Styela clava: one gene and its partner. The main gene of each other region encodes a partner of the protein of the gene in region 2 in a complex. Links are inferred from orthologs where the notes say so. Each region holds a gene or a part of one and is shown on either strand. Other genes may lie near its edges.

The links.
Region 1: the proteins of kinesin-associated protein 3-like (region 2) and kinesin-like protein KIF3A are in contact, whole or in part, in a crystal structure (PDB 9IKB), measured with the Caenorhabditis elegans proteins. The link is inferred for Styela clava from reciprocal best matches to the Caenorhabditis elegans genes kap-1 and klp-20. Residues at the interface, in NP_001367739.1 of Caenorhabditis elegans: Ile269, Glu272, Leu273, Val276, Arg277, Leu309, Ser310, Ile311, Phe312, Asp313, Glu314, Asn315, Lys316, Asn349, Phe350, Phe352, Asp353, Lys657, Ala660, Gly661, Arg663, Phe664, Lys665, His667, Asn668, Gln670, Trp671, Met674, Val675, Asp679; in NP_497178.1 of Caenorhabditis elegans: Tyr557, Ile558, Pro559, Val560, His562, Leu565, Ile566, Tyr569, Lys582, Ile584, Ala585, Tyr586, Gln607, Met611, Tyr612, Tyr613, Ser614, Tyr615, Arg616, Leu619, Ala621, Ser622, Thr623, Ala624.

The regions. Positions count from the first base shown.
Region 1 is NC_135250.1:21,206,593-21,223,007, reverse strand, and holds kinesin-like protein KIF3A, read right to left. Parts: upstream 7,987-16,415; 5' UTR 7,969-7,986; intron 7,010-7,968; exon of another isoform or gene 6,799-7,009; intron 5,948-6,798; 5' UTR 5,911-5,947; coding exon 3,850-5,910; 3' UTR 2,218-3,849; downstream 1-2,217. Other genes in the region: outer dynein arm-docking complex subunit 2-like, read right to left, coding at 851-1,008, 1,702-1,817, 2,075-2,185; uncharacterized protein LOC120343993, read left to right, coding at 8,522-8,698, 9,719-9,818, 12,756-12,918, 13,565-13,685, 14,027-14,106, 14,365-14,509, 14,722-14,888, 15,422-15,533 and 2 more. UniProt on the Caenorhabditis elegans protein: Component of the kinesin II motor complex (composed of kap-1 and the heterodimeric motor proteins klp-11 and klp-20) which is required for intraflagellar transport (IFT).
Region 2 is NC_135254.1:13,146,615-13,163,073, forward strand, and holds the start of kinesin-associated protein 3-like, read right to left. Parts: upstream 8,372-16,459; 5' UTR 8,223-8,371; coding exon 8,191-8,222; intron 8,108-8,190; exon of another isoform or gene 8,001-8,107; intron 7,273-8,000; exon of another isoform or gene 7,272-7,272; coding exon 7,140-7,271; intron 6,377-7,139; exon of another isoform or gene 6,271-6,376; coding exon of another isoform or gene 6,269-6,270; intron 5,953-6,268; coding exon of another isoform or gene 5,812-5,952; intron 5,384-5,811; coding exon 5,241-5,383; intron 4,989-5,240; coding exon 4,776-4,988; intron 4,114-4,775; coding exon 3,977-4,113; intron 3,888-3,976; coding exon 3,800-3,887; intron 3,620-3,799; coding exon 3,521-3,619; intron 2,686-3,520; coding exon 2,504-2,685; intron 2,074-2,503; coding exon 1,911-2,073; intron 371-1,910; coding exon 270-370; intron 1-269. Other genes in the region: uncharacterized protein LOC120344989, read right to left, coding at 10,185-10,273, 10,482-10,656, 10,740-10,897, 11,011-11,131, 11,569-11,693, 12,708-12,841, 13,135-13,337, 13,520-13,626 and 1 more.

The DNA of each region.
Region 1 (16,415 bases), on a different chromosome or scaffold from region 2:
TTTACCAACATTTTGGCTCTTTTACTTTAGTTAAATGACAACACTTTTTATTCCGTATTGTTCGACTGTCTACTATTGCCTGTTCAGTAAACTCTAGTGCTCTCAGGCTTCACTGTATCATTACCAATGCTCAAATTTCATATTCATATAATTGAGAACTGCTTTTTTGTTAAAAAACAGACAGATTGTCTCAATTACGGTTCTAGGCAAATTCGCCACTGGAAATTTTGCAGTATAAAATTTCGCAGCGTAGGGAAAATCGCCGTATGAAAAAAAGCCATATTTAAAAAATATTTGTTATTTAAGAGCATATCCTAACCCCATAAACCTAACTGTTTTAATCGGTTCCATTACATTTGAACCCACGTACATTTGAACCCATGGCAATTGCACCTGTATGCTATTGCACCTATGAATTTTTTTTTGTTCCACGAATAGTTTAACCCATACTAACCCTAACCCATGGGTTTTAGCACCCGCATATAGATTGAACCCGTGGATATACGCATGGGTTCAAATGTACATGGGTTCAAATGTACGGTCACCGTTTTAATCACAAATACTTGTTCCACAGCAAAATGCTCTTGCGACTTTTCCTATGCGGCGAAATTTCCTACGGCGAATTTTTCCGGACACGCACAATTGCTATGCAGCATGAGTTGGGACTAAATATCAACTTCTCCAAGTCAACTTGTGTCGAGTCAAATCATATCATTCTGTCAAGTCAGTATGATTTAAAGCTTGCTCCAAGAGAATTTGAATCTCCAATGACAGAGAATAAAATGAGTTCAGTTGAGTTATTCCATAACATATAAAAAAGTTAAGTCCAGTTAAAAATGTTTATCATTACCTTCTAAGCATGCTCTTGCTTCTGCCAGTTTTTGATTTTTAGCAGTTTTCATGACGTTTGCTAACATATTCATATTTCTGATTTGAATTTTTCCATTTTCATATAACATTAATGGATTTCCTTGAGTATCACTCTCTCGTGAAACAACCTTCGAACCACTGAAAAATTTTATTCAAAAATTTATTTTTGTTTTTTAAAATTAGGAATTCAATTGTATCTTTTTTTTTTTAATTTTCTATTTCAGGGAAATGTAACAAACTGATAATTGGAATAAAATTGATTTTAGCAGGGTATGCTATCATTGGAGTTGAATTTTTAAACTCAGGTTTCGAGAGTGAAAGACGAAAATATGAGTCAGAATTTCAGAATTTTCACAGAGAAACTTTTTTTACATTCAAGCGTTTTGGAGTATATTGAAGTAGGCTTGAGAGTATTTATTACCAAAATTCGATTTTCTCAGGATTTCGGCGGTGAAATCTAAATTTTTATCAGTTGGCAACTAGGAAGTGGAGACAAATGTTTTTTCTTAACAAGAAGTTAGAATCAATTTTTTTTCAATCCAAAGACTAGAGAGAAAAGTCAATTAGATGACTTTAATCATATGGCGAACCACAGCCTCTCGTCTGGTAATAATCAATCTCGACGTGACTGACTAATAGTTATGTGAACTACCCTATGACGGTTAGGTACCCAACAATCCTCTCACACATAATTATCACCCACAGGATTCGCCCCTGCAAACCCTGGCAGAGTAATCAGAATTGACAAGGCAATTTTGTTCCTAACGCTTAGCTCATGTGTCAACCGCGAATGCATTTTTTATACATTTAGGACATCATATCATAATATACCTGGCTTCAAATCCATCTGTAAATGCAGTTGGAGGAAGAACAGAATTCCATGTTAATGGGTCTTTAAAAGCTAGAGCAGCTTCTTGAGAATGCTTTGATCCAAAGTTCTCCACATACTGTGGTAATACAAACAAAAAAATTTTTTAATAAGATTCTAAATATACAGGGTGTTTATAAAGTCCTGTATTAAACCCCATAAAAAACTTTGATGTGCTTCGTGCAACTAATTTACGGCATATAAAGGATTATTGAGTGACATAAAAAGATCTAAATAAACACAGATTGAAAATCAGTGGCTGCTTCTACAGGGCCTTGTTCAGAGCGAAAGCGTCATATAAAAAAAATAACAACAATGGGCTTGAACGAAACATACCTGGATAATATCATTGAGAAGTTTTTCATTCAATGGCGAAAATTCTAGTTTTCCGGTTCCATTCTCAAACACAGATGTCCACTGCGCAGCTCTCGCAATTGCTGCTCCCATCTTTAACTTGGTATAGTTGTACTATTCTAATACTACAAAATACAGATACAATACAACAATAAACTGTTACAATTATTAGATGTAGTGGTAAGAATTGAATATAATATTTATAACATAAAGTATTGGCTGGGCCATAATGAGTTGCTAATTGAGTCGTACAACATCTTAATAATGTGAAAGATTGTATGTGTAAACCAATGTGCATTTCTGAGAATTAATATAATGGCCGATAACATGAGCCAATGTTTCCCACCGGGGAGAAATTTCGAAGTTATCAGGGAGTGAATATCACTTCATATTTGGTAGTTTCACAAATATTGTTTAGTTATTTAGTGTGTTTGAAAAATGTGTTTATAAATATATTATAAACTATAGGCCTACTAACTGCAAAATCCAGAGTGTGAAATGGCACTAGCTAAGGATCTTTTAAAAATGAGAAATTAACGAAAAATAACAGAGTTTTAGTGCATTACGAGGAGGAATAAAGAGATCCAAAATAGGCAAATGGAGAACTTTATCGAAAAAGGGAATCTTCTATTCCTTGTATAATTTTACTATATTTTATATTCAGTAGAAAAGATGAGCCGCAACATTTTTACAAATGGACAATATAAAAATATTAAGTGTGAACAGATAATTTGATTTAAAGAAAGAAAACTTGTGCAATAAAACTCAGTTCAATAAAAATAGTTTGTGCAAAAATTTCACTCACTATCAAATTTTGATCTATGAAAAGTTATTTTATTCGTGAAAAATGTATTTCAACCTATGGGATATACACAGAGGCCCAAAAATAGGTTATCGTATTTCATGCAAGATACGGTGCACTGTATTATAAGACTTTCTGACATTAAATTGCTAAGATTGGGGTTACAGTATATTCATACATAAGGAATTTTAAAGCAATATTGGTACTGGTTTTGAGTAAAAAAGCACAAAGCACTACCTGATCCATACATGAGGTGCACCTGCTAATAAGACGCACGATCAATTTTTGAGAAAAAAAGGAACCAAAGTGTTCATCATGGTTCATAAAATACGGTAATATTTCTTAAATCAATTAATTAATTACTAATCACTGTTATTCTAGTACACCCTGTATTAGGGGTATGTATGGTACCTGGATTTTCAATATGCCGAGTATAACAAAAAATTCAATAAAATAGAGTACATCGATATATCATTCAAAATCACAATATAACACTCAGCAGGAGTGACTTTTGCGAGTGAAATTTGTTATAGGATCCTCCATGGCACAGACAAACAATTTAAAGAAAGTATTATGAATAATATAAAAAGGGAAATGTAATAACTGGGTTTTTTATTTTTCATAGATTGATTTAGAAACAAGAACCAGTGTTGAGGTGATTGGAGTCATTGACTCAACTTGAGTTGAACTTGAGTTACGACTCGAAGTGAGTCGTGTCATTGAATGGAAATGACTTGTACTCAATTAACTGCCAGTGAGGGTAAACTCATTGATTACCTCAACATTGGACTTGAATGAATTGTGACTCAGGGTTTATTAAAGACTTGAAATTCGGACAAAGCAATCACATCATGCAGCATACAATTTCACATGCATTTCATAATACTGATAACATATCAGTATAAATACATAATTATCTAAAATTAGGCAGTGACAGAGCAAATAAATATGATATTTACTGTAATACAGCATCTATGTCAGCTTGCGTTGTGTGTTTTTTCTTGCGTCCAGTTTTTGGACGACCTGATTTTGTTTTTGCTGATTTTTGTCGATATGCTTCTCTTAAGCTTTGCTCACTGTACGCAAGATATACGTGAGATAGATCAAGATCAGAATCATCAGCTACATTTTTTTCTGGAATTGGAGACTGTTTTCTCATATTATTACCTGTGTATGCTATACATTTCATTTGCCATTCTCCTATATCTTCGTTCCAATGTGCTTGTTCAGTAATTAATTCAAAATATTCCGGTGGAATAAAAGCATCACATATTAAAGTTTGTAATTGAACATCTTGTGAAAGTTCTCGCACTCCATCCAACAAAGCTTCCATTTCTCTTTGATGTTCTTGCTGAATATCTTCAAGTTCGGATTTTGTTGACATTAACATTGTCCATATTTTCTTAAGCTTTCGTGTTTTGCCCTGTATTTCTTCTTGAAGAGAATTATATTTTTCTTCAATGTTTATACGCTCAGCTTCTTTTTCTTCAATTTGTTTCCGCAGTTCCTCTTGTTGATCCCTTCTTTCTTGTAATTCAAGGTTTGATTCTTCTAGGAGTTTTTCCTGCTCTTCTGCCTTTTGTAACAAATCAACGCCACCAACAATAACTTTCCTCTCAATAGCATGTAATCGTTCCATCATTTGGTCATGCTCCAACTTTGCTTTTTTGTATTCTTCCTCTCGTTTTTCAAGATCCGCTTTTACTTCATTCCTTTCTTCTTCAGCTAATTCCTTTTGTTCCTCCAAACGTTTTCTTTCTTCTTCGATCTTCTGTTGCATTGCCGCCATTTTCCCTGATGAATTTCTCCTTTTTCGTCCTTTCTTTCTCCTCACGCTCCCGTCAGGACCAATCTCCTCCTCTGATTCACTCTCACTTCCTTCCTCGCCTCCTCCATCTTGTAATTTTTTTCGTAAATCCTCGATTTCTTTTTGAAATTGCCGCAACAATGCATCCTTAGGATCTTCATTGATAATGGCTCGGTTCTTGATATTTTTTGCTCGGTTTGCGTATCGCAAAGTAGATATTGTTTCATCATAATTATAACTCGCAGGACCAATATTGGCACACATCATAGTTTTTGAATTCCCACCGAGAGAATCTTGCAATAGACGAGTTAATTTAGAGTTTCTGTACGGTATATGAGTACTTTTGCCATCAACAAGAGCAGATATTACATTCCCAAGAGTTGATAAAGACAAATTAATCTTTGTCGCTTCTTTGAGTCGTTGGCCTGTTGAGCCAGTTTTCGCTTGTCGTTCAGATCCTGCAAGATCGACAAGATGTAACTTACCGACTCGAACATGCTGTTGACCATCTGGACCTTTTTCACTACATTCTGCAATAATACTGAAAATAGCATGAGATCGTGAAGAGTGTTCATTCATATTAGTAGCACCAACGGAGCGATTTTTGTTCCCAAGTGTCATTACTCGATCCATATCATCAGCATTATTAACCACAAACATTGATAAATCTTTAACATAAACTCCAATATCAGGACGTTCTTTCACTTCGTGACGTGCATGTTGGTCTTTCCCCAACAAATCCCTCACTTCCTCATTGTAAATCTCAAGATAAGAGACACGCACCAAAAATCTACTCTCGCCCTCTGCTTTTGCAATATGACCAAATATCTGTGCAAATGAGTTCGGAATAATACCTCTCAATTCTGGCACAGACCGAACACCTTCCATTGTGAAAGTCTTTCCAGTTCCCGTCTGCCCATATGCAAAGATAGTTCCATTATAACCTTGGAGAACAGAATCCACTATCGGTCTTGCAGTAAGATTATACACATCAACTTGTTTGCTATCTGGACCAAATACTGTATCAAAAGTGAACGTCTTTGGTGGTTCAACATCAGATACTTGTTTTTTCACTGCAATTTGACCTCGAACTTCATCTACTGTAACAGCAGTATCGAATTGAGATGATTTCTCTTTTTCATTTAGAGGTCGACATCGAACAACAACTTTGACATTGTCAGCACTATCACCTGATTTCGCTGATGGCATTTTAAATATATTTTGATATACTTTCTTAAGTATGAATCTAAAATAAAAGCAATGAATATGATATTTATTTGCAAAGTTTTCGGTGATCAGTAAAACCACTCGAATATAAGCCGAGTTTAAAACTTAACTAAGGGACTGGCTTATAAGCGCAAAACTCTGATCGAGCTTGAACTAATTGAGATTTCATAAATTAATACGGCAAACTCAAACTGAAGGATATTATCATTAATGGCCGTCTGGCTAACAAATAACATCCGCGATATATACTAAATATTATTTAGGAACCTATTACTACCGGTATATTTTCGAACTAATTTGCGTTCATAATTTTATATGGTTAGAATGTTTGCTTCAGATAGAATAATACTACAGCATTAATTGTCAACAATAAAGCTATAATTTTAATCATTTTGAACAACCATTTAACTGAAAGGTTGAAATAACATATAAATATGGTGTGATAAATACTGCGCTGTACATCCATGGGTTAGGCAACAGCTGTGTTTTCCGTTTTTTTTTTTGAATTAGCAAAACGGAAGGGTCATATATCAATCACTTTATCTCGTGGTAGCCGTTTTCTTTCTGAAGTGCCAAGTGCCGATATCAGGCAGGAAGTGCTTCATTGCACCCACCGGCTACGTTTTTGTTTTTAAAAGAATTAAGACAAATAACAGCTGATCAATTGATAATTGGTCAATTGAATAATTGGCAGACACTTTGGCATAATATATCAGCCCATATATGAAGCTTACAAAAATCATGTTTGAGAAGACTTGTGAAAATAAACCAAATTTATTGCCCTAATCGCACAGGATATCTCGACAACGTTAATATAAATTAATGATTGTAAAATATTTTCAATCAAAAACTTCCTCATGTTATACGTACTTCAAGTCGGCACTGATTCAATTCCTTTCATGTCTGCAGTAATTTACCATAGTTGTTCTGCAAAGTGCTGTCTTCCATTATGATAAAACAGAAAATATAATAATCGAAAATTGTTTTAATCAAAACGTGGTCAGCGGTGCTAGAATCTGTGTGCCATATTTCATATTAATATAAACACTAAAAACAATACAAGAAGGTAGCATAAGCGATATTTGAATGATAAATTTGAACATAGATGCGTGCAGCGTGTTACGAGATTTGTAGAAACGGCTTATATGCAAATTTTCATAAAATCTCGTCGTTTTGAGGCCGTTTTTAGGGAGTCGACTTATTCGCGCGATGGGCGTATATTCCAGAATATACAGTATTAACAAATATTCTTGATTATTTATAAGACATCATGTATAGCGATTAATATAATCCCCTACTTTTGTACTTTCTGGAACTGTCGCAAACTGGAGCTGTGCGATAAACTAAAAAGAAGAGCAAACTGAAAATGTCATCATTAAATTACTCAGTAAATAAGAATTGATTCACAGAGGGAAAAAAAATCCTAGCGTATTGGTCAAGAGTTGTTAGCAAAAAACAATCGGCCAATTTTGCACCAAATACTGGGCTTTGCAGTCTACTTTACTATAATAATTAGAGACTGCTCAATTATTAAACCTCTGTTTAGCTTATAAAATTACTTTAAAAATGACTTAAGTTATATTAATTAAAAATGTATAATCAAAATTCGATGATCGCAGTCACTCACTTTACAAATAAGAACAAAATATAAATATTCAGAATACAAATGTTCGCATCATTTGAAGAAATTTTTTGTATTTGTATTCGAAAGAATTAACTGTATAAAAGTATTACTGTATAATTTATGAAGTTACAACTAATGAGATCAAGACAGAAATATCATTAGTTGTTTTCACACAATTTATGAATTTCGGAGTTGGAATGCTTATAACTATTTCTAATAAATTACGTCATTCATTCCAGTATAATAAAAATTTTCTAATATTCAACTACCAGACTACCGGTACGATAACTTTCATTCTTCAGAACTTAGTTTAGCAAATAAAAGATTTAGACTATTTCAAGATTTCTACATTCATTACCGGTACTCTGTTACAGAAATAAAAATTAATGAACTAATCAACAAGATTTTAACCCGACCTTGCATAAGTCCAAATCCAACGGTTCGATTATAGATATAAAAGACAGTCCAGAATAGAATTCACATCAACCTGCCACTGTACTAAAGGGTTCGACGAGAAGCCAACAATCCTTCAATTTCTAATGGTCGCTACGGGATACGAATTATTTATTAGCAATGTTGACTTAGGGGGCGCTGTTGATATGGTAATCAATCTAACTTTTTTTCAGTTTTAACGTGGACTATCTATGCAATATGCAATAATTAAGAAATATTAATTTTTTCATCTTCGATTCTGATAGAGGAAAAAATATAACGCATCATCCTTGACCTTAACTGGTACATGTAAATAATTTATGAGCTATTCGCTTCTTAATATCGGTGTTTACGATCATCAGATAAATATACTAAAATCTTTGAACATTCAGAAATTCTGTAAAATATATTTAAAAACTTAGCTCACTTTACTCGTCAAAATTTTTTCTCGGAAAGACAAGGTAATAAAATTGGTAAACGTCCTTTTCTGCGTACATAATTTTTTGTTTTGTTTTTGTGTTGGGTATTCCCCTCATAATGAAACTACTGTACTGGACAGTAGCCAGACCTGTCTTCGTTTCACGCAAAGCAGTGATGGCTAATTTGGATTCCATGATAAGTGTAATTTACAAATGTAATTTGTGCCTTTTTGAAAATGAATCAATCGAAAAACTACGCACGCATGTTGCAGAGACACATAGAAATGAAGTTTTGGTAAATCTTATTTCATGTATTTTTGTGTACCGGTATGTTTCTGAACATTCAGTATTTGACCTAGTAGATCCCTGATATGACTAACCAAAACTAATATTATTTGATGCTGGGGGTCCAGTATAGTTTGGTACCACAAGGACTTCTAGTTGACCTGGCTCAACAATTTTTGCATATGCTATTCCTAACCCCCACCTGATTATGCCATCCAAAAATTACGTCACTACGACGTCACCACACGTTATAGGGATTGCCAGAGTATAATTACGATCGCCCGAAATGACATCTGTGCCGCTGATAACGAACTTGCTAAAGCCGGCGATCTCTCTCCTATAGTGATCAATGTGACGAGAAAACGAGAGAAATTGCTTGATTGATTTCGGGTGATCGTCTATGCGTTTTGGACGACCATCCGCATACTTCGGTGGGCCTTATTACGCCACTGTGACGTCGAAATGACGTAATTTTTCGATGACGTAGTCAGGTGGGGGTTAGGATTGACATATGCAAAAATTGTTGAGCCAGGTAGTACATGTGGTACTAAACTCAGAAACTATACCAGACCCGATGCTGGAATGTGGGTAGTTCGAATCCCATCTCTCTTGGTTATCAAGCACCGCCGACACCTAAGGTTCTAATTTAGATGTCGGAAGTTTGAATTGTGAATTGTATTTTGCTTTCTCCACCACCAAGTCCATGAATCTGAACAAGTAACTGGTTGACTATTTCTATTCTCGACCTGGACCCGTAATCAGACAAGAGACTGTGATTCGCCATATGATTAAGCCATTGTATCACAATATTCCTGTATGAAAATCTCATTCTATTTTGATAACATGCTGATTGCTGACAATGAATTTGAACAAACAAATTAGCTTACAATCTGTTTATTTACTTTTGTTTTCTGGTATTTTCTATTGCAAAATAAAATCACAATATGTTTGTATACCATACTATTGTATAGTTTGCACATGAAGATAGATTATAATTTTAATTACTGATACAAATCCTATCCTTGTCCAGGATCATGGTCATGAAGCGTCTAATACAGAGAACGTGGAAACAACAGGAAAAAATCAAATTAACATAATTATTGAAGAGGCCAACTTTGCAACGGAAAATTGTAAGTACCGCTAGATACGAGTTGATGTAGTCTTGTGGCAAACCCGTTATTTGAGATTGTCTGATTATGTAGTGTTGGGAGGAAATCCCTAAATTCCAAGTCACGAACCGTGGGTCATCGAAGTCTAGTCAATCTCTGAGCTATTCCTCAATGGAGTATTTGAGTATGTGTTTGAATCACCTCATTTAGATGACTCGAGTCACTTTGAGAAGTTGAGTTAATAAGTGTGTTTCCATGGGCAAGTTTACTAGGACGGACTAGGACGCAGTCGGGCGGGATTACTAGGACGGACTAGGACACGAAATCGCGACCTGTTTCCATGTAATCGTGATCTCGGAAATGAGTTGCATTGTGGGTAAAACTACACGCTTGGATGGGTTGATTTGTGTCATCTTCTTTCAGCCTGAGTGATCTCCGCTGTAAATATTTTGTTGTTGGGATTTCCCCAATTCGTATAAAGCTGTTACTGTTACCCGAGTTTGTCTTTAGGTTTCTCTCTTCGGTATCATTATCATAGTATTAATTTGAATATGGACAGGGCGAAGACTTTATTAGCGTTTTTTTTCGCGGTGCAGGCGCTGGTCTTATGGTTGCACACCAGAAGAATAAGGCGGTCTAGGACGTTGCTGGCGTTAACTCAGTGGGGAGCTGAAAGAATTCCGAGAAAAATATGGATGGAGTACCGGTAATTCTTTTATTCTATATATAGGCATGTACAAAACAAACTACAGTAAGTTTTTAAATTATAATGGCACCGTGGGTAATATATTAGCCATATATTGAGCATAAATTTAGTGTGTACGTACAACAACTCGTATCAGTACCGTACTGCAGTATATATTTGCTCTAGTGATGTCAGTGACCTCAAATTCAATGATAGTCTTAATCTAAGTGATTTCATGACTCTTTCAATCAATATCAGATCTACGTCATCAAAATTGGCAGCCTGATTTCTCATCTATGATAAATTTGAATTGATATCAATTGCGTTACATTAAGTAAAGGAAGGAATGATCCTGTGAAATAACAATCCTAATTAAATAAGTTAATGGTCCAATAGGTTGTCCATACGGCATATGTGATACAAAATAAAAAGAATACAGGCTTGAGAAGTAAGCATTAGTCTACATAAAAAGTTATCGAGAGATACGGTACCGGTACCGTTGAATGTTTAGTCTGCTACCGTACCGTTTACACTACCGGTAATTCTTCATCTGCCATCGTGAGTTTGAAGGTTGAGGTACGGTACCGCATCTTGCAATGCCATTACTTACAACTGACAAGTTTAAACCCATGTGGATCCCCCACGAAGAAAAGCCGCAAAAATGTCATCTGCGAGAAACATCGAAAGTCGCTAGAACGGAAAATAACGTATAAGCGTCTTGAATACTAGGACTCAGTAGGACGAAAACCCGGTGAAGAAGTAGGACGTACTAGGACGCGCCATGACGTCACATCGTTGACCATATAAGGAATGCGCGTCCTACTGCGTCCTAGTCCGTCCTAGTAATATTGTCCATGGAAACACACTTAATGACTCATGTCTCTTCAACACCGCATGTTGCTGAGCAGGTCAATTTTTCTAATGTATTGACTAAAGCGTATATATAATACAAGCGAGGCAACGCTCCGACAATGGACGCCATCTTGTGCCTATTGTTCTGCCTTGCCTTATGAGAAGTTCGCACACAATCATTGAAACATACCTATTATTTTCACTAATATTTTAGGCAGAAAAATTTTGAAGGTCGCGTTATTAAGGAGAATCTTAGCCTAACACGTTGATATTCTTCCATGTTTGCCAAATTACATTTATAGTACATTAAATTGTCCTTGAAGACAAGTATACCGGTTCCGAGTTGCTTCTGAAGTAAGTTAACCATTCTAATCGTCATAATAAACCAATTGTTAATCGTCATAATTAACCAACCAAACCATTCCCTATGACGTCACAGATGAAAAGCTGTATTTATTCATCGAAATTACCGGCCGACTCAACTTTGCTTCAATGGTCGTTTCTATTTTCTGGTTAATATTTTTCGTTTGTCAAGCTCCATAATGCCCTACTGCTCAGCTCCAAGCTGTACTAGAAGAACAAATGACATTGTAGGATTGTTGCGGAGACATTTTACAGCGTCAAATTGGCGTTTCCATATAAAATCTTCAAAAAAATGACCAAAGATGGTTTTACGTTGTGTTTGTGGTCAAATTTAACGCATTACCGGTAGATAGTTTTTTATTCTCAATATCATTATATTTAGGTAGCATATAGCTTAAAGTTCAAAACCCACCCTTCGGCTTCATTCTAGCCCTTATGGCTGCTGATTTATTCGATTCGATACAACCACACGACGAAAATTTTCCATAGGACTCCATTGTTTCGCGTTTCCCAAATATGGCACAAGATGGCATCCATGAACTTGTTTAACATTAGGCAAGCTGGTTGCCGGCCCCTGGTATGGACCTAATTGGTTAAAGAAGCATTTATGTCTCTCACCCTACAATAACAAAGAATGGTGATAAATATCTCCCATAAAATTTAAACCTTTGGCTCTTGTTTTGTGGGCATATTCCAATATATTTTGTGGGCTGCTTGTTACAGCCTGTGACACAGCTCCAGCTTATAAACACCACTGAAATCTGTTATGTGCCAACCAAATAGAAAATGTTTTTTTTTTTGCATTGTATCGCGAAATGGCAAAGTACATCCACATATTTTAAAACTCAAAAAACATGCAAACTCGACTTGACTAATTTTCAAATAAAAAACATTGTAAGAAGACTCAACCATTGCCAAGGTGACACATGACCTACAATGGGTTATTCAGATATTCTTTCTCACAACTATGTCTATAAACTGTTTTTGATCTATACTATATATCTAAGGCTAGGTAGGCTTTTTGTATAATGATTCAATCAAGTTTTTTTTCTCTTTAGCGACAGGTGTTATTGAAATGAATGCAGCATCATGTTTGGAATCGGTAAATGAAATATTTACTGATGAGATTATTAGGAGGGAAAATAAAAGTAGCAATAAAGAAGACACGAAGAAACATGGAGGAAGATATAAAGCATTACTATGCACTTTGTGTAATAATCGGTTAGTTCTCAGTTGCCGGTAATCTCAATTGGATTCGCGCGCCATTTTTCATGGCAATGTTCAATTTATCCAGTTAATGTACTAAATTTGATTAGGTTGACTCCTGTATAAAAGTGGGACAAAATCGAATTGTATTAAAATCAATTTTTAATGTAATTGTGGTCAGACTTGCACTCTTATCAGCTGGCGCATCATGCCAAACATTAGGAACTCACATCTCTGATTACTGTCTGGGCTTTGATTCTTGTAGGAAATAATTATGTGCAAAAGAATAACTGGCTCCCCGCCATCATGGTTCACATAATTGCTGGTCAGTTACAGGCTCCTCAGCCAGCAAGTCAATGCATCTGAAACTGTGCCCACATTAACTGTTAGGCGGACGATAGGCCGTGGTTCTCCATGTGCTCAAAGCATTTCATTGGCTTTTCTCTACTAAAATATACATATACCCGTATATATAAAATAAAATATACAACAACAATTTGATTGTGATTCTTGTACAATAAATTACTGCATGGTAATCATTGGTTAGTTCACAAAGGTTTGTTCTTCTGAGGTGGTTTGTAGTTTAATCGGTGTGAAGGGTAATTCAATTTTTAGACAAAATTTATCCGACACAAACAGTTATTTTTCCTTTTTTTTGAAGACTCAAAGATGAAGAAGAAATGAAAATACATCAAGAATCACATTATGAAAACAATGCATTCAAATGTATAAAGTGTGATTACACGAATTCCCAATGGATAGAAATCAAAAATCATATGAAGGTATGGTATGTTAATTTAAATGACAGTGTGTTAACTCTAAACCCGTGGGTCTAATCGGGGGCCCTTACGGGTCAACAGAAAAATTTTGGGTGGTACATGAGCTTTGCATTATATATACTGGTACTTTATTTTAACTTGGGTTAAGCTTGTGTATAATACATAATGGCTTGCCCTATTATTAGTCAAGGCTGTTTTCAAAGTGTTTGTTTCAAGGCTCTGTTGTTGGCCCATTGTTTTTTCTCATTTTGATTTGTTATTTCAAACCATAGGCATACATTAGTGCAAATTTAATACATCAATTTTTACAGATTATTAAATTAAATTGTGACTTTGATATTCAGATACACGATGTTCAAAAAACCAACAGTTGTGCAGAATGTACAATGTCATTTGCAAGCCAAGTTGCTTTGAATAGTCACTGGTAATGTATAGTTGATATTTATAGAAGTCAATTATTCAATTCTGAATAGGTTGTTGTGACCTTGTCTTGTACAATTATTTATAACTAATAATAATATCTTATGGCAAAGCAGGGTTGCTGCTGTTCAATATCTGATTCATCTACCAAGTTTATATTACTTTGCTGCAGCTATGTCTATAAGCTTGAATTTCCTTTGTACAGTTTTGTTACATTTGATGTTTCACATATTTCAAAGTATCCTATTTATTATGTTATCAGGAGATTTCAACATCTAGGAGGAAAACATTTATGTGACACATGTGGTTATGAAGCTTCTTCTAAATATAACCTTTATCAACACAAATCGCAAAGTCACCCTACGATATATACATGCTATCGATGCAATTTTACTTGTAACAATGAGGTTAGTAGCTAGGATCTGTTATTTATTGATACTTGATATTTTATCAGTCATGTCTCTCATAACAAAAGTCCAGTTAAGAAGACACTTAGATTTACTGGGTATTTTTATTTTTCATGGATGATTATAAAGTCTGGTTGGGAAACACTGGGTTGATACTTTCCCAAAAGCAGGTGGTATTATTTACTGGCAAACTCTAGTTCATTTTTCTTTAGGTTGATCTTCAAAAGCATATGCATTCAAGGCACGAGAGTGGGTACATTTGCAAGTACTGCAAGCCTACACAAATATTTTCAACTCAGCACCATCTACATGCACATATGACACAGAATCATTTGGGAAAGAAATGTTTTATATGTGACCGATGTAACTATGTTGCTAAGTATGTAATAATTGTATTATATTCTAGCTGCTGATGCATTCGATTTGTTACATTTTAATGAAGTTATGGAACTAGGTACTCAAGTAATTCCTCTCTTTACCTTACCCTAAAATTTGCCAGAAGGTAAACAATAGAATAAACGTTGAGATAAGATCCAGTCCATATGCAGTCTGGTATTGGGATTTGAAATCATACTAATTTTTAGCATTCCAAATTAAATTCTTGAGCCAGAAATTCTCGAGAAAAGTGTCGTTAAAATACATTATTTTGATAATTGGTATCGCAAAATTATATTTTTGGATATCTTCCATGTCTTATTTGAACTTAATTTTTCAAGAAATTTGGAAAGAAAAAATTTGAAAATGACTACGAATATGTAAGTTTCGCAATATTCCAGAACTTATACCTTGTTGTACCAGTTCATTTATTTTTAATAACATCAAAAAGACGTATAAAGGCGCTTATGAATGCACAAAAAATATTATTTGCTTTATTCATATAACTATCAGAACAAATCATAATACAATTTTAAGATTACGTCATCATCTTGAAAAGCACTATTTGATGCATACTGGGGAAAGACCATTGAAATGTAAAATAAGTGGATGTGACTTCACAGCTAGAGAACCCAGGCATTTTAAACAGGTAGCTACATTTTACTTGAAGTAGAATTTTGATGATTTAAAATGTATAATTTTGTCAAAGCATCTAATTGTTGAAGAAGGAATGTGATTATATTTTTTATTCTCCAATATTTTACAATAGACAGTGCTGTTGAGTCTGAGAAACTTTACAATTCACTCTGACTCTCAACTTTGTGTCTCAAGGTCAGCACTGAACTCCGAAAAAATCTAATTTTGATAATGAAAACTTTGGCGAATGCAAGTCTTCTTTACTAGACTGTTGATAAAAACCCTAGGTAAAATTAATGCTTTTTTAGTTTTTGTAGGAAATTTTGACTTATTTTATCATCATTGAAAGTATGAAATTTTGGCTCTGATGAATTTAAAATTTCCAATAAAGGTGGATTCCATATATGATGAAGTTTTTGTTATTAAAAAATTCGCTGCTGGAGTCGAAATTTTATCAACTTAGGCATGATGCCTCTTATTTAAGTGTCTAATATTAGATTGAGCAACTCATTTGCCCTAGAATAGCAGCTCTTTGCCTCTATTGTCATCATATTCAGAAATTTACAAATTACAATATCCGATTTTCAGCACATGGTAACAAAACACAGTAAGCCTGGTGATCTGGTATGTAAAGAATGTCAATTTGTTACCTCAGATCAGAATGAGTGGGACCTTCATATTTCAATGCATCATATGAAAGTAAGTGGTTGTGGCAATGGCATCATGTTTTACTTACTTCCAACTTCAAATCCAACTCCTTTCTATTTTTCAAATAAGGTCTTCCAATGCAAGCACTGTGATTATCAAACAAAGAACTCTGCTACTCTAAGACGACATCGATTGGCGAAACATGTTGATCAGGACCAAATGCGTTTTCCTTGTCCTCACTGCTCAT
Region 2 (16,459 bases):
TGTCGATTGATCAAATTTGAAAGATTTGGAACCAGTACTGAGACTGACCATCACTGGAATCAAGCCAAGATTCCCTCTTTTGTGCAAAAATATGCACAAAAGGTATTGTCAAATTTATAGTTCCTGAGAGTCGCAAAAAATTGGGATGTACCAAGTGCTGTTAAAAATACAACGAACACTGCTATATATGACTCAAGTTCATGTTCCTTGTCACTGAAGAAGGAAGAGAAGCAATCAATTAAAAAAGTTTATGTTAATTAATTCCTTACTGTTGGAATACACTTTGTATCAGAAAACAACGATCTTGCTTGTTCATCCATAGTCAGGTTATAAAGTATACATATAATAGCAACACGATGAAGTGGGTTACCTAAGGAAAAATAATATATTTAATTACTTTATGGAGAAAGTAATAAGTGTTGGATATGGATATTGTTTAGCCATGTTGCGAGTGAATTACATATTTTGACAGTCCCAAGCATGATCGATCTCTGTATATATGTGGTTGTGTGAAACAGCCTTGATTATAAATTACTATAGGTCTTAAATGGCAAATCACAGGGTGCTATACGCTCTTTCTTATTCTGTTAGTGCATAGCACCCATATCTCGGAGGGTGTAATAAATTGAGTACGAAATGCTGCACTGGCACATATTGAAAACCAACTTCTGTAAATATGTATATTTTAGAGTAGTAATGTTTTTATTTCGTCGTAAAAAAGATGCAACCACAATTTACTTTAAACACGAGTAAATTAATATAAGAAAGACATTTTAGATTCTCGTAGTTATTATGAATTGAATATTTTAGGCGACAGAGAAGTCATTATACACTGAAAAATTTTGCTTATCCAACGTAATTGCAGTGGCTTTTTCAGGAAAATGTAAATTTTCAATTTTAAACCCTCCCATTTTGGAAATCCTGGCTGCTCCCCTGTGTATATTTAAGACATTTACACTTATATACAGCAGCACTAGAAATTTAACCATATAATTTAACAAATTTAAGAGAGATAACATGATTATGCATATTCAAGGCCTATAATGATTTGGAAACTGTATTCACCATATGTGACTGATGTATATTCAAGCACAAGTCATGCATAATTAATGAAGCATTGATACAAATTGGGATATATCAACCTTGTAATAAAACCAGTCTATTGATTTTTATATCAATGACAGTAACATCTGTTTCACTTATCTATACAACACTAAGCTGTAATAGTTGTAGAATATATCCCCTATGTTTTCATTTTCGAATTCAACATTCTATACACAGGGTGTCCATAGAGTCAGCCCATTCACAATTTCAATTTTGTTGAGATGCCAGTCTTCGATATATCTTAACCAGCTTTCTTGTTTTTTAATCACTATTATTTGTTTTTTATCATCAAGTATTTTTATTTCATTTAATACATCTGTGAAGGCCAAAACAATATATATTTATAAAGTATCGATAAATTCCCTCTGCAATTCTAAAAAAGTTCAAGACTTTATGGGCACCCTATATTTAAAAATATATTTTGTTTTGTCATGCTAGATTTAGCTGAAGATAAGTTGAATAATTTATTTCGAACGCCGTCACAATACAAACACACAGAGAAAAATTATCAAAATTCTTGTTTTTAACATGAAATACATTACATGAAAATAATTATATCAAATAAATAAATATTAGTAAATGCCAAATTACACAACAGGCCTTCTGAATAGATTTTTCGCAGAAATTATGTGATACATACTGGTATATTTATACTAAATTTTTTAGATTTTAAAATCCATTCCAGAGCTAAAAATGACAATTTTTTATTAGTATTCTGTATCCAATATATACCTAATTTTGAAAATGTTTGATTATTAGTCTCTATTTGACAATCATGATTCATAACCACAAAATGAAGTCCTCACCCAAGATTCCATCTAGTTTAGGTATGAGACCAGACTCCATCATTTGTTTTCTGATATCTTGATCAAACGAAAGATTGAGCAGAAGACGTAATGCAACGTTCAATAAATCTTCATTGCTCGTCGGAATAAGTCTGACCAGTGATTTTACCACATTTTTATCCCTCTGAAAAACACAGTTTTAATTTGTAATTCAAAAAAAGTTTGGGGTTATTGTCAAATATTTAACTAACTTGATTATCGGTATGTGAAAACGTTTATTCAAAATCAGTATAACTTGAATGTACAATTTTTCACTGTTTCAAAATAAGGACTCACTAAAGATATTTATATACAGTTCAAATTAGTTGTACTAAAGGAACTAAAGACCTTTGAAGAAACCGTAAGTAACTGCAGTCAAACGCGGAAAATTCTTAGAAATGAAAGAGTCAGGACAAAATATCTCAAAATTTTAGAAAAAAAATAATTTTATCTCGTATTAGACATACAATTTCGATCACATTATATAATTATTTTGTAACAAATACCACTATTGTGGTGATGTGTAGCTATTTGTTTAGGTATTTGTATAAAAAACAAGACTATTTGAGTCTCACCATCTCATTTTTGTTTTCCAAAAATATCGACAATTTTTTTAAGAAGGAAACAACAAGAACTAGCAATTCTGGGTTATCCCTTGTTTCCAATGCTCTCACAAGTATGCCAACAATTCCACGTTTCTTCATTTTGACTTCAACAGAAGCATCTTCTGACAGATTCAACAGGAGGTAGAATCCAACTGAGAAATAGAAATTAAACAAATAGGCTTAGGGCTGAATACAATTCTAATATCTTTCAAATAATGATTGAATTGTAGGATATTTGATATCACTGTATACAAAGTGGACCTATGAGATTTCAACAATAGATCTATAACTGACATGGCCACACTACAACCCACGGGCCAAATCCGGCCCGTTGGGTACTTCAATCTGGTCTGCCTGATGCTGCTACAACCTAACTAAAACCAAATTTTGATGTTTTAGCTAAAAAATAGCTCAAGGAATTTGTTGAAATTGCGATTTAATTTAGTTTTGGCTTATTGTTTTTCACTTTTGCTTTTGTACCACTGTAAATATTGTTCATAAAAATTAACTTTTTACGTCACACTTACATGGCCCGCCGATTTAGAAGGGCAAAATTTTTGGTCCCTGGTCCAAAAACCTTGCCCCCCCTCCCCTGAATTCTGAATTCTATAATCTGCAATGCTAACACAATTAAAGCTTTGACCATTAGCCCTCGTCCCACAAAAAGATTGGTCTTGGTTAGCAACGTGGTCAATCCATACCCAGTATTGTAGCACAAATTTAATAGGCCTAAACAACAACAACATATTCATATCAGAATATTACACAACCAAGAAATTACGGCACAACAAAAATCATCAAATTTAATTTCAGTATCACCCTAAGTCTACGTTTCCTGCTTGTGTAAAGTTGATTCTAGAGTTCAGATACTCAAGAAACCAATCATTATAGATATCAGCCAATATATTTATTAATTTATTGTTCAGTCAAATCATCCAAACATCATGTCAGGCATAATGATAAAACAAGGAATTTTAACTCATATACCTCTTAAAAGTTGATCTTGTTTTTTAAGAATAGCTTCACATTTCTTCGCTGTTTTTTCAAACTCTTTTACAGCAGGATTTGATTTTGGAAGATTCGCTAGTAGAATTAGCAGTCAAGAAAAACTCTTATTAGCGGTTAAGTAAAGCAACACGACTCACAATATAATATTTCACAAAAAAAAAGAACCATTTAGAATAATCTGAAGTACCGGTATAAAACATTTTCCAATGATATTTTTATTGCATATATTTTATGTTCAAATTTATTGATTAAGGATATTTTGTTGTTTCTTTTTGTCCAATTCTTCGTTCCACATTTTATGTCGAGATAATTCATATTCTAATATGGACATGCACAGTGCTCCAATCTAAAACGACAATTTGAAAGCAAAAATAAGTAAAAGATTTAATCATATGGAAGGTGGAATTTAATTAAATAACATATGAAATGACGAACCTTGAAATGTATAATAACTCCATGAAATTGTGAAAAAGTTGAAAAACAAAAATAAATATATATAATATTTGTTGAAAGTTCGACACTCTTTTTCCAATCTTCTCTGAGAACACGAGCAAGTGCACCAAGAACTGTTTCTATAAATAAAGAGAACAATTAGTTAACTTGAAAAAACATCGCCAAGCATTATAAGCAGAACACGTAGCAAAAAAGATTAAAGACAATACACTCAAAGATTGCATGTCTAAGAAACTGACGCGGATTGTTACTGAATATCCAGGGAAATAAATTAAAGAACAAGTAATTAAATTTGCACACAACATTGCAACCACACAAACAACATTTTCCTATAGAATGCAGTCTGATTATAACATATATCATGATATTAAAGTTGATACATCATGTAGCCAAATTGGGTAGTCCACAAAACTGGAGACTTTGTGAATTGCCCAAATTTATGTATCTGAACTGAAAAACTGGTTAGATATTTTCTCCCAATTTGGACTTGAAACCAGACGAGTAGTCATGGTTTGCCAAAAAAATGGGCAGCATTACCTTTTTTTCTATACCCTGGAATAAATATATAATAGAAATACGAATTTCTTCAAGCTTGGCCATCAACAAAAATCAGAAATAATCCAGTATTATAAGTACGAATATGCCACCATAATCAAGTGATTGTTTGCCTTAGAGAGAGATTATTCTTAGAGTAGGTATATTCTAAACACTCTTGAAATGAGAAGATATTCATGGATGCAAGAATTGAATAATATAAAAACCATAATAATGTGAGCCTTACCATTCTGAAGCAGTTCTTCAAGGTTGTCTGGGTTACGTGTCAATTGTAGTAGCAGAGAGGACGATCGAATTTTTTCTGGAATATCTTCATAAAGAAGCTCAACATAATTATCGATATCGTTTATGCTGGCTTGTTCACCATCTTCAATACCAAACATGCAATCTTCCACTTCAACATCTTGTCCAGTTGGTCGCAAGTCACCTGATGTTTTTTCTAAATAAATGAAGTTTCAACAAAGTTATTGGCATTGTACGCAAAAAAATTAATAAAGTTGAATAAAAAAAATTCATATTCTTGAAAGGCATGATGATGTAAATCCTGCATAAAATAGGACTTTTTAAATTATCTTGAGTTGAGAAAATCCAATAAAACAATTCAATCATAAAGTTGGGCGTTTGTCCAAGTTAACTTTTTTGCCCAAGAGGTATAATAATACGCATATATAAATATATAAGTTCAAAATACCTTTGCCGGGTCTTTTCTGCAGGTAGTAAAGCAATTGTTCCACTTCTGGAAGCTTTGATACATGAATTAATTTACATTTTTCAATTACTTCTTCAGCTAAAGCTGCTATGTCAGTTGTAGAGTTCAAACTCCGCAATCGAATTCTACAAGAAAATTAGGTTGATTAAGGGTCGACCCTTTCAATCATTCATACGTGAGAGCTAATCTCCTACAGCTAGTAAATTTTTTAAAATACGGATATCATGACCTTCTTTATAGAATTATTGAGTAGTGGTTTAAATTCAGGCATCCTCTTTAATATTATACTATTATAACGATTGTAGCAATATTGTTCAGTCAAAATATGACAGGCATCACTCTTACTCTAGAATCATATTTTACTGGTTTTTACAGCTATGGTTAGAAGTAATTTGTATTAAGAGCAGAATTATTTGAAATCTAGTGGAAAAATAATTTAGTTCCTAATCTTCAGCTATTACTTCCTACTTGTTTTAAAAATATCAAAACATTTGACCTTTGAACCTCCACCCAGTAACTGGACTTTACTAACTAGCTAATATAACAATCTCACAGCTTTGTTCCCTGCTTAGTTAAATAATGTTCCAATTCCAATTCTTCATCTTCTCCTAACAAACAATCAAAACTGTAGTGAACAATTAAAGCATCTAAAACTGGATGAACTTCAATATACGTGGAAGCAAATGACGAGTCCCTGGAATAGATAGGTATACACTCAACTAGTACTCGATCAAGATGCTATTTATGAGCTAACCATACCAATCTGAACTGAAATTACTGAAAAAAGCTAGGATGAAAATATCAAAATATGCTATTCTGTTTCTTTCAAAATGATAACTATTTTATTTTTCTGATAATTCTAATTGGAATCGATAGCTAACAATGAGCAGAAAATTGTTGACAGTTTCTCAGTAATCATCTTCTTATTCTACATTACTTGACAACACTGTGTCTGTAATACAATAATGACACACTAAGAGCTGTTTTACTTATAATGATAGAATGCTTACATGATTTTAAAACTCTTCTGAACTACTTAGAAACACGATCCAACTTGGTAATGCTAACTTTCCAAAAAACTGAATCAACAAACTTCACTTTAAAACAAATTGTAGTAACTGCAAAAAGATAATTTTTGATTCATTTGAAAGACCAAAAAGCAGTTTCTACGCACAAGAAAACATATTAAACTGTTTTGCAGTAAAAATTGGCAAATAAATTTCCGTCTGTTAATTTTCCTAGTCACATTTCACTGATATACTCATACAAATACAGAACAATACATATTGTATTTGTGACAGATCTAGACAGAGCTAATTAGCTATCTCCGTAAACTATTGATAAATCATGCCTTATAAGGTTGCTATATGGTTCTCGTATAAAAACAGGGCTTAACTGCTGCAATTGATGCTAAAAACTTATCTAATGCTAAACTAACAACAAGAATGGTAATTATATCAGTATGTAAAGACAATTGAATTACCGGTCCTTTATTGTCACGTTCCTTTATATGATATCTAAGGAGCTACTTTCCGGTTTAATATTTTCTACTCAATATATTACACCCTGGTGGTGAATATGGGATTCGAACCGTATGTTTTTCACTTACTGATTTAACTAATTCTCAGCTTTAAAAAAAAAAACACAGGCATATAAACATGCATTCAAATTCCAGATATACTATAAGCATTATATTGTCGTAAATGATTGTTTATTCTTAGTATAATAAATATGGTATGTTAATATTGAACATATTTTTTTTGGATCCTGGTAATGCCCGAGTTCTGCATATATAAAGGTAGAATTTAGGCCTGTCAAAGTGTTTGGAAAACTATGAAAAAATATAGAAAATAAAATTCTTTAATAATGAAAATTAAATACATTTTTTGAAATTGCTTTCTTTCACCGAGCATAGGATCACCAAGTTCTCCTAATATTGTTGCTTCCACTTCATAATTCACAACAAGTGCTTGTTCAGTTGGGTGAACGTCAATTGCCCCTCCTTTGACCTTGCTGTAAAATAAATACCCAATTCACAAAAGGCACTTTAGAGTGTAAAAATATGTAAATTTCTCAGGGGACAGTACATTTTAATGATGAGCATGACAAAAGCGTTTTCTGTAATTCGTAACTTTTCTAGGGTCAAATCGCCTTATGGATAATGAGATTCCGTAATAATCGCTGAAAGAATCATCGGAATGAACGATCAAAATAATCACTGAGTCCCATCCCGAATACAGAAACAGGGTGAGTGTCAGTGCCACCGCTAGGTTGGCACATTGGCGTTGAATCGTACTTGAATTATCAGTATGAAAATTGACCAGATACAATTATTCTACACCAAACAGCAGGCTTTATGCACTGTATATGATTTAAATCAGAAGTTCACAACACAGGAAAAACGTGCCTAATGTCATAAACTCGAACATGGCATGCCAATGATTTCTTGATTTGGTGAAAATAATTTGTGTATTTCTGTATTTAAGTATATGGAATTCTGAACTAATAATAGCAAATGGTTGAGTAGGTTAAACATGATTTTAAAAACTTTGGCACATGTCTTCATTTAAGATGTGCGCTCATGATTTAAATATTCATTCAATAACCATTTTTTTGGATTTGCAAATGTCTGAGCTGCAGAATGCACTTTTCTGTTTTAAATATAAAAACAAACTTTCATTTCCAGTTCTTGCTCAGAGCCAGCAGGGCAGAATAAACTCTACGTTAAATTAGTAATTTTACCAGTAAATGTTCCACCTCCAGACAACAGCTTACATCCATTCATGCAAAATCATGAATTCCTGACTACATATCTACAATCCCATACCGTACCCGCTGACCGGAAGCGCCCATGGTCTGGTAACTGGGCGAGATACTGAGATACATATTTAAATACCATCCTACCTTTAAAAGCTCACTTATTCTGACTTACCGTTTCAAATATCTCGCATCATCCGTCTGCATGTTCTCACCATAATCTTCAACGAACTCCACAATCGACAGATACAAGCAATATTAAGATAATAATTGAGCGCATACAGACGTAATTATAGCGGTTACACAACCTTTCACCCAAGTTGCGTTAGCGATAGAATGCCGAATTATTTGCGACAGATCAGAAATTCTGAATTACGTTTAAACATTTTTTATTAATTTTTTTTTTTTTATTGTAACTCATACATTTTATTGCAACCAATATTTCTTATAATATTTGAATAAAACAAACAAAAAAATGAGACCCGACAGTAATGTATGTTTACGCGACCCTTGACCCCATAAACATTTTTTCCTTCACTTCGCGCAAGATTTTTCTACGATTATGAAAATCATAGTGATAACATTTTTTTCAATATATTCAAAAAACTGTTTGATGGGTACGGGGAGACAGCCAATCAATTTTGACGCATACCGAGACTGCGGTGGTGTGGCTCGCCACTTTTTCTTCTTCCAGTATACTTTTTAGTTTGTTTTATTTGTATTGTCGGGTAATTTTGTGGTATCAGGAAATCGAAAAAGCTCTTAAAATTTTCTTACAATTTATTCTTGAAACATTACTTCCCGTGCACAAAATCGGCATGCCATTTGTAGTCTTCTTCTAAACTCAAACTTACTCATCATCCCATATTACAAGTGTTAAATGGTAAGCTGTTACTAGTAATGAGGCATTTGTAAGATTATACCTTCGGATTTATTATTACAAATGAATGAGAAGGTTTTATCAATAAAACATGTTAAAATACATAAGATACAAGATATGTAAAGTTACTGGAAGCAATGTGTTAGTAGTAAGCGCATCAGGCAGGAACAGAAACTTAGAAACAATCATACACAGCATTCAAATTGTGCAATGTTATTCAATATCATGAACAGCAATATCAACACCATCGGTAAAAGATAAATACTGTTAGTGTGGCAAGGGAAACTAACATCCTATTCTGAAAATACAATAAAATAAACAGAAAATATAAATCATAAGAAAACAAGCAATTACCCTGGCAATGTTTTCAAATCTCGCATTCAGTTTTTTTGCTATCGATGCCATGTGAAATTATAATAAACAAATTGCCTAAGAAAAAGTATGAAGAACAAACACAATGAATCAGTTATGATATGGCATGTAAAATTGTTGCATTTCAACTAAATACACAATGACACAGGAACATTGAATACGGGCTATGGCACTAAAAAAATCTTATTGATTTTCTAGAAATATATATATATTGCAAAAATCATCACAGAACGACCTATGTTGCACATTGGAAAAAATAGCCCCTAAAAGCATACATGATATATAAACAATTACAAGTACAGGTAACATAAGCAACGATTGTATCTAAAAATCAAAATGCTTCTGTGCAAGTTGAAAAACACGCAGTACTAAAACCAGCAGATCTCAAATAACTCCCAAAAGTATAAGTGTGGTGAAAAAAAAATGGCGAAGAGAAAAATGAAGAATTCACAGATTTGTAAGTGTGATTGTCACAAATACAACATTAGAGACAGGTACACCAACAAAATAGCCACAACACAAATAATGCTTTCAAGTGGCTTCCAGTATCATAAGGCACAATGGTTCAGGGAAGCTTAATCAATAAATCCCACTCACAAACAAATTAAATTCGAAAAATTACAAATCACATTGAAGATCATAAAGAAATTAAATTCCAAATTTAAACTGAAGAAAAGTGCAAAACATAATTGTACAGCAAAAGGCCATTGAAGGACGTTATAACATATAGGAATTTGACAAAATTGAAAAATACTTAAAATATTCTTATATGCTCTTTTTACCACTAAGTAAAAAATCAAATCGATTTGGAAACGAAGGGTGAAACGGATTTATATTTCACTACCACATACTTTTGATCATCTGGCACTATTCAAAGCTTATCAAAAACTATAAAATATTTGATCAAAAAAATTCATCTAGTTGCATAGTAAAAAGTTCACAATCCTGGCGAGGATATAACAATATATAGGTGCTCCCAGTGAGAAAAGTTTGCTAGTGGCAGATCCTGAAAATACAAAATATCAGTAATCTCAACTCATTGAAACAAATCATGTAATTTGAAGTATCTCTTAGTCTTGATTAAATAAGAGCAGTAACTCCCGACCAAACCTAATATGCTAAGAACTGAGTAGAGTAAAATGTAGCTTTCTAAAAGACAGCATTCTTAAGATACAAATATATTATAAACACAAATTTGCATTAGAATAACATACCTGAGTTGGCATAAGTTTGAACATACGAGGATGCGTATGGTAGTCCGTTACCAGCCCTGTTATAAGGAAGAACAGTCGCATAGAATGTTCTGTTTTCCTCAACTTGGATAGTGCATTCACTCTCCTCAAATAGGAATGATAGCTTCTTTTTTGAATCCAAATCTTTCAGTAGCACCTGTGTAACATTATTACTCAAGATAAGAGAATTAGTAGATTTGAAATGAAAAAATAAACTTCACATAAAAAAGCAGAAAATACCTTATAACCTAACAATGGTTCCTCTTCAGCTCTGCCTTCAGGAATATTCCAAGATCCATGTATAATCGATCCAGTAACTGTGAAATGAACATTTGTGAGAGGGTACCGTGGAGGCAACTTCCAAGTATGGTGATCAATCGAAGTTGATGTGCTCTTCCCTTTAATAAAAATTTCCTTATTAATGAATTTAATGACAGAGTTCTACTTACAATTTCATATTAAAAATAAATGCATCAGTGTATACAGAAAATATATATATATAGATTCTTACCCGACTTGTTTGCAGCTATCACTACAATTTTATACTTGGTATCTGGTTCTAAATCTTTAACGTCCAAAGCAGGTGGTTTAACTTCATAAAATTGCGAGCTGCCCTTAGATGTTAATATCACCTGAAAGTTTGAAAATTAAATGAATTTCATACAGATATTATAATATAATAATATTTATGTGTGCAATGGCCTAGCAGTTAAAGCCTTAGAGCAGTATTTCCCAAACTTTTTCGTTGAATTCCTTCCTTCTTCGTTTTAGTAACTTTATTCCTTCCTCAGTACGCATATAGACTCATTTCTTAAACTTTATTATTGTATCCTTAGCTAATGTTATGCGAAAGTCGCCCGTTTTTGAACAAAAATATAGAATATTAGTAATACTACAACGAACACAAATGAAAATTCCAACCCAATAGAATTCCTACCCAGCTGGAAAACGTTAGAAGATATCGGTGATTACTTCTGTGTGGCTTTGCTCGGAGCGTAATGTGTGAATAAGCAATGCAGAAAAAATCTAGGTCGACAAGACACTCGTACCACTATTATATGTTATATACCTCATAATGCTCAGCATTTTCAGAACCGTTCCATGTCACAAGGACAGATGATTTCCGGGAAGGAAATTTAGAATATAAATTTTCACAGATCAGATTTTCGATAGCATACGGTGGTGTCAGATTTTCTGAAACGAATACGATGAGTACAATAACAAGTGTGTAATGTATAGATGTCGGTGGCTGACCGAGTTTTTTCATATTGCCATAATGAAATATAGGGGCTCCCGAAGTATGCGAACCAAGATGGCGGACATCGGAATGTAATATGTGTACTAGGTTAGGGTTAGGCCATAATTTTAGGTATAAATACTACGAGAGGCTCTTGGCTAGTCTTCGAACTGATAATAGGACTAAAATAAGAAAAATTGGATAAAAATTATCGCCTAACCCTAACCTGTTACCCATGTTACGTTCCGATGTCCGCCATCTTGGTTCGCATACTTCGGGAGCACCGAAATATATTTGTAACTGAATAGCAACACATACAGCATTGATCATACAGTAGTGTACATCCTTTCACCCTCTTACCAAGGCGGGTGAATATGAAAGTTACCCCCTAGCCAAGTGAACTGCCTGCAAGATTTATTCACAAATTCAGGAAGTAATACAAGAATATAATAATGTCATAGGAAATAATATCAACAACTTATATGGAGCTCGACAATTATATGAATGAACAGTGAATAAACATTGAAATATATCAACGAGAAAACAGAAACAATATATGGTATCTATTCATATCAGTGATCACACATTTTGGTAATTTGCATTTTAAAATGTCGGGATTAAGTAATCAGAAAGTCTGTACAAATGAGAGGCCACTCCACTCAGAAATTAAGTCCATATATACATCGCTATTCTTAAATTTAATGAAAAATTGTTCCATTTGTTATTCAAATCATGGAAGCCAGGCACAATTAAAAGTTATATGCAGTCATGATAAGATGACATAGCCTGCCCTGGGTCATTCTTATTCTGTAAGATTTTTTTAAAGAGGGATAAATCTACTTTTCTCTCCAAGATCCATGTTTATTTTAATAAGATAATTGGTTATATTTTTTATAAGTATGTGCTGTTTATTACTTGAGTAGAACCAAATTGGTGACATTCAAGAATTAGCTAATCATAACAATACTTACCAATAATTGGCTGTGCTGTTGTCACTGGGGCAGTCATGTTGTCTTGTGTTGCAGGGGTCTTTATGTCATCAGGTTCATCTCCTGGTGGATTCAATATAGCAGGAGGTTGTGAGCCGCCACCTTCAGCAACATTCCTATGAAATGAAAATTGGTAAATCCTGAAATTGACATTGTTTGGATTTTTCATGATGATAATCCAAGTCAAAAATTCGGAAAGAAACAGGCAAACAGCACATAGTATTGACTATTGAGTTAACACAGCACAAGCTTTTGTTAATAAAGTTTCTTTTTTTTCAATCTGGAGTCGGTAGTTGTTTATTGGATGGCACAGAGTTTAATATCGAAATAGAAAATTTTATCTCTCGGTCCCGTTTTAGTTCACAGCAATAAAAAATTTATTCGATAACAATCATTTAGTCGAACTTACTGGGGAGCTTTTCGTACTGGTTGGCAACCTGAATCAATGTTTGGCTCCTCGGTTATTCCTGATGACGAACAAGAAGTACACCCCATTTTATGCCAGTATCTATACTCGTGGAACCATCCGCGGCAACACAGAAGGCATTCCATTTCATTGGTGCTATTGATCATGTAAATTCCTTGTTTTCCATGACTATTGACGCAATAAACCTGTTAAAACATAACAATTCTGAATAGGATTTTCTATAATTTCAACTGATATTAAATTTAGCTATATCAGCATATGGTACTTGTGAGTGACCATAGAGAACAGACTAGTATTGCAGTAGTGTACAAGGATTTTTAATATGAATAAAATAGCAGATTATGGGAATAAAAAATATATGCCTTACAACTTCATCCAACGGTTTCACGATACCAGCAATGCATCTGCCATATTCAGTCTCCATTTCGTATACTTTATCATCAACCCCAGTCTTCGGAAGTGTATTTGCTGTAACTGCAAGAATTGAATAGGAATTAAAAACTAACAAAAAGTCATTTTTTCACTAAGATGAACTTTAAAAAACATGTGATTTCGGGATATGCGATTTCTGACAAAATATACACTTTCAATCCAGCAATGCCGCCATCTACCAAAACCATTTAAAACACACAGTAAAATAAACATGCACAATATAAACTCCTTTTGGATTCGAATCGAACGGATTCAGTATGCCGAATTGCGATATCCCTACTTGTAACCCTGTAACGACGGGTCAATTCAGCAATTACGGCTTCCAGCACTATCAAGACCATGCATTTAAATCAGAGGTTCTCAAAAGGTGAGAGATGAAGACAATTTTTTGAGGTACGTGATGCTACCGTAATTAAAATAATATGTCTATGAGAATGGATCTTGCCCTCTTTATTTCATTATATTTACATTTCAAAACTTTTTACCTAATTCAATATTTCTGTTCCATTCAGATATTTTAAACATGTTTTTTGAATAAAAGTACTTTTGCATTAAGATTTTATTTGAAAATTGAGAAGATTTGCTAATGTTAAGATTAAGAATTTCTGGCTCTTAGACAAGCCATTTCAGTCGGTTGCGCTAACCCGTTGGAAGAGATACTCAGCAATGGCAGACAGGTAACTACCGCAAATGGTACTGCCAAGGTATCCCTATACAGGTAGACTGAAGGTACTAAAAACTGAAATACAATGAAATAAGTCATATATCATATCATTATCCGTGCATACCTAGTGCATTGCATAACAAAAAAATCAGAATTCCAACTTCAAAACTCGGCATCGTCATATTTATCCAGTTATTTGACACGAGAAGTGGAGATGCAAGATTATCCAGTTGCTGGAGCTATGATTTCAGCAGGGCTGCTACTTTTGTCTGTAAAAAAAAAAAAAAAATTGACCTCAAATGACAACTAGATTGGAAGACAAAACAGGCAAAAAATATCTCCAAATATGAAGTTACTAAATTTAATAAAAATCAACAAAACAAGAGAGTGTGCAAATAGGTCATTATATTACATTACAAAGTAGATTTCGAGGATCATTTGAAGTTGTTGCTACAGCTGTCAGAGGGATTTTTATATGTTTCTGCTTTACATATTTTTTTGAAATCGTAACAGATTCCTTATATGACGCGCAACATTGTTTATTTGGAATTGGTTTGAATTTAATGATGATTACTATTGCATTAAGTGAATCTGTCTTTCTGCTGTTTCTTAGTTTGTTTTTTTAAGTTAATTGCACAAAATTTTTTTCAACATCCTGACATCAGCATTTAAATGACATAGTACTGTGGTAACAGTGATGGCTTACAATGCTGTTGCCGTGTTATTGTTCCACTCTTATACTTTACGAATATAAGCTTTGTCTGTTTGTAGTTGACTTTCTGCAGTACATCCGTAGTCTTATGTTTCAGCTATTTTTGCAGTTATGTGAGATACTGACGATAATAAACTTTATACAATTATATTGCTCTCTCCAGTTTTGTGATAAAAATCCCTTGGATTTCATATCAGAGTATCAGGGTGCATGTTAACTAAATGCCGCGATTACTTCTAGTAGTCGTGGCACAGACATTTTTCAGTTTTTGGAGTCTGGTATAGTTTCAGAGTTTAGTACCACTGTACCACTGCACTTCTAGTTGGCCTGGCTCAATAACTTTTTCATACTTCATTCCTAATCCCCACCTGACTATGTCACGTCACTACGACGCCACAGTGGCGTAATACTGTAATAAATACCTTCAAAGAGTACAGATGGTCGTCCAAAACACGCAGACAATCACCGAAATCGAGCAAGCTAATTTTCTCTTCGCAACGATCCCGATATGAGAGAGACCGCTGGCATTAGTGAGTTTGGTATCGTCGGCGCGGATGCCATTTCGGACGATAGTAGCCATACTTGGCAAGTTCTATGACGTGATTGTGATGTCGTAGTGACGTACCGTAATTTTTGGATGACATAGTCAGGTGGGGATAGTTATGTGCAAGAGGATTGCTGGACTCCTCGCCACCGTCAGGCCGCAGGGTGGTTCATGTACCGTAACCGCTGATCGGCTATCCTCCATCATCAAGTCCATGCTTCCCAAAACAAATAACTAGACTACCGGTACCGTAAAAGCAGGTAACTTCCTATGCCTTGTACGGTACCGGTACCGTAAGTTGTAACCGCGTATGAAATTTCCAATCGGTCATATCTCGACGAAATCGCGTCATACTGTGCTTCTGGCAGTTTCTATAGTACCGGTACATCGTGCTAAGCGTTGGAATACGCTCGCCACCGCATCTCTGATTACCCTTCGTGGGTTTGCAGGTTCGAATCCCAAGCGGGAATGATAATGTGCGAGAGGATTGCTGGACTCCTCGCCGCCGTAGGGTGGTTCACGTAACCGCTGGTCGGTTACGGCTTCCTCCACCATCAAGTCCATGCTTCCGAGAACAAATAACTGAACCCACACCCGTCATGGACTGGTAACCGGACGAGCAACAGCATTAGTAGTGGTAGCCTAAAAGTCTCGTTGCGAGCAGCGCATTAGGAGCAGCGCATTACGCACAGTGATGCCGCATTAGGAGCAGCGCATTGGGCACAGTGAGGCCGCATTAGGAGCAGCGCATTGGGCACAATGCGTGGTCGCATTAGGAGCAGCGCATTGGGCACAGTGGGGCCGCATCAGGAGTAGTGTATTACGCACAGTCAGGATTGACAATTTACCCATCCATTTTACCATTGACGTTTTATAAACACCGATTTTCTTTATTTCCGTAACAATGATCAATCAACAAAATAGTAACAATGGAAATTTATGCGTCTGCTCAGAC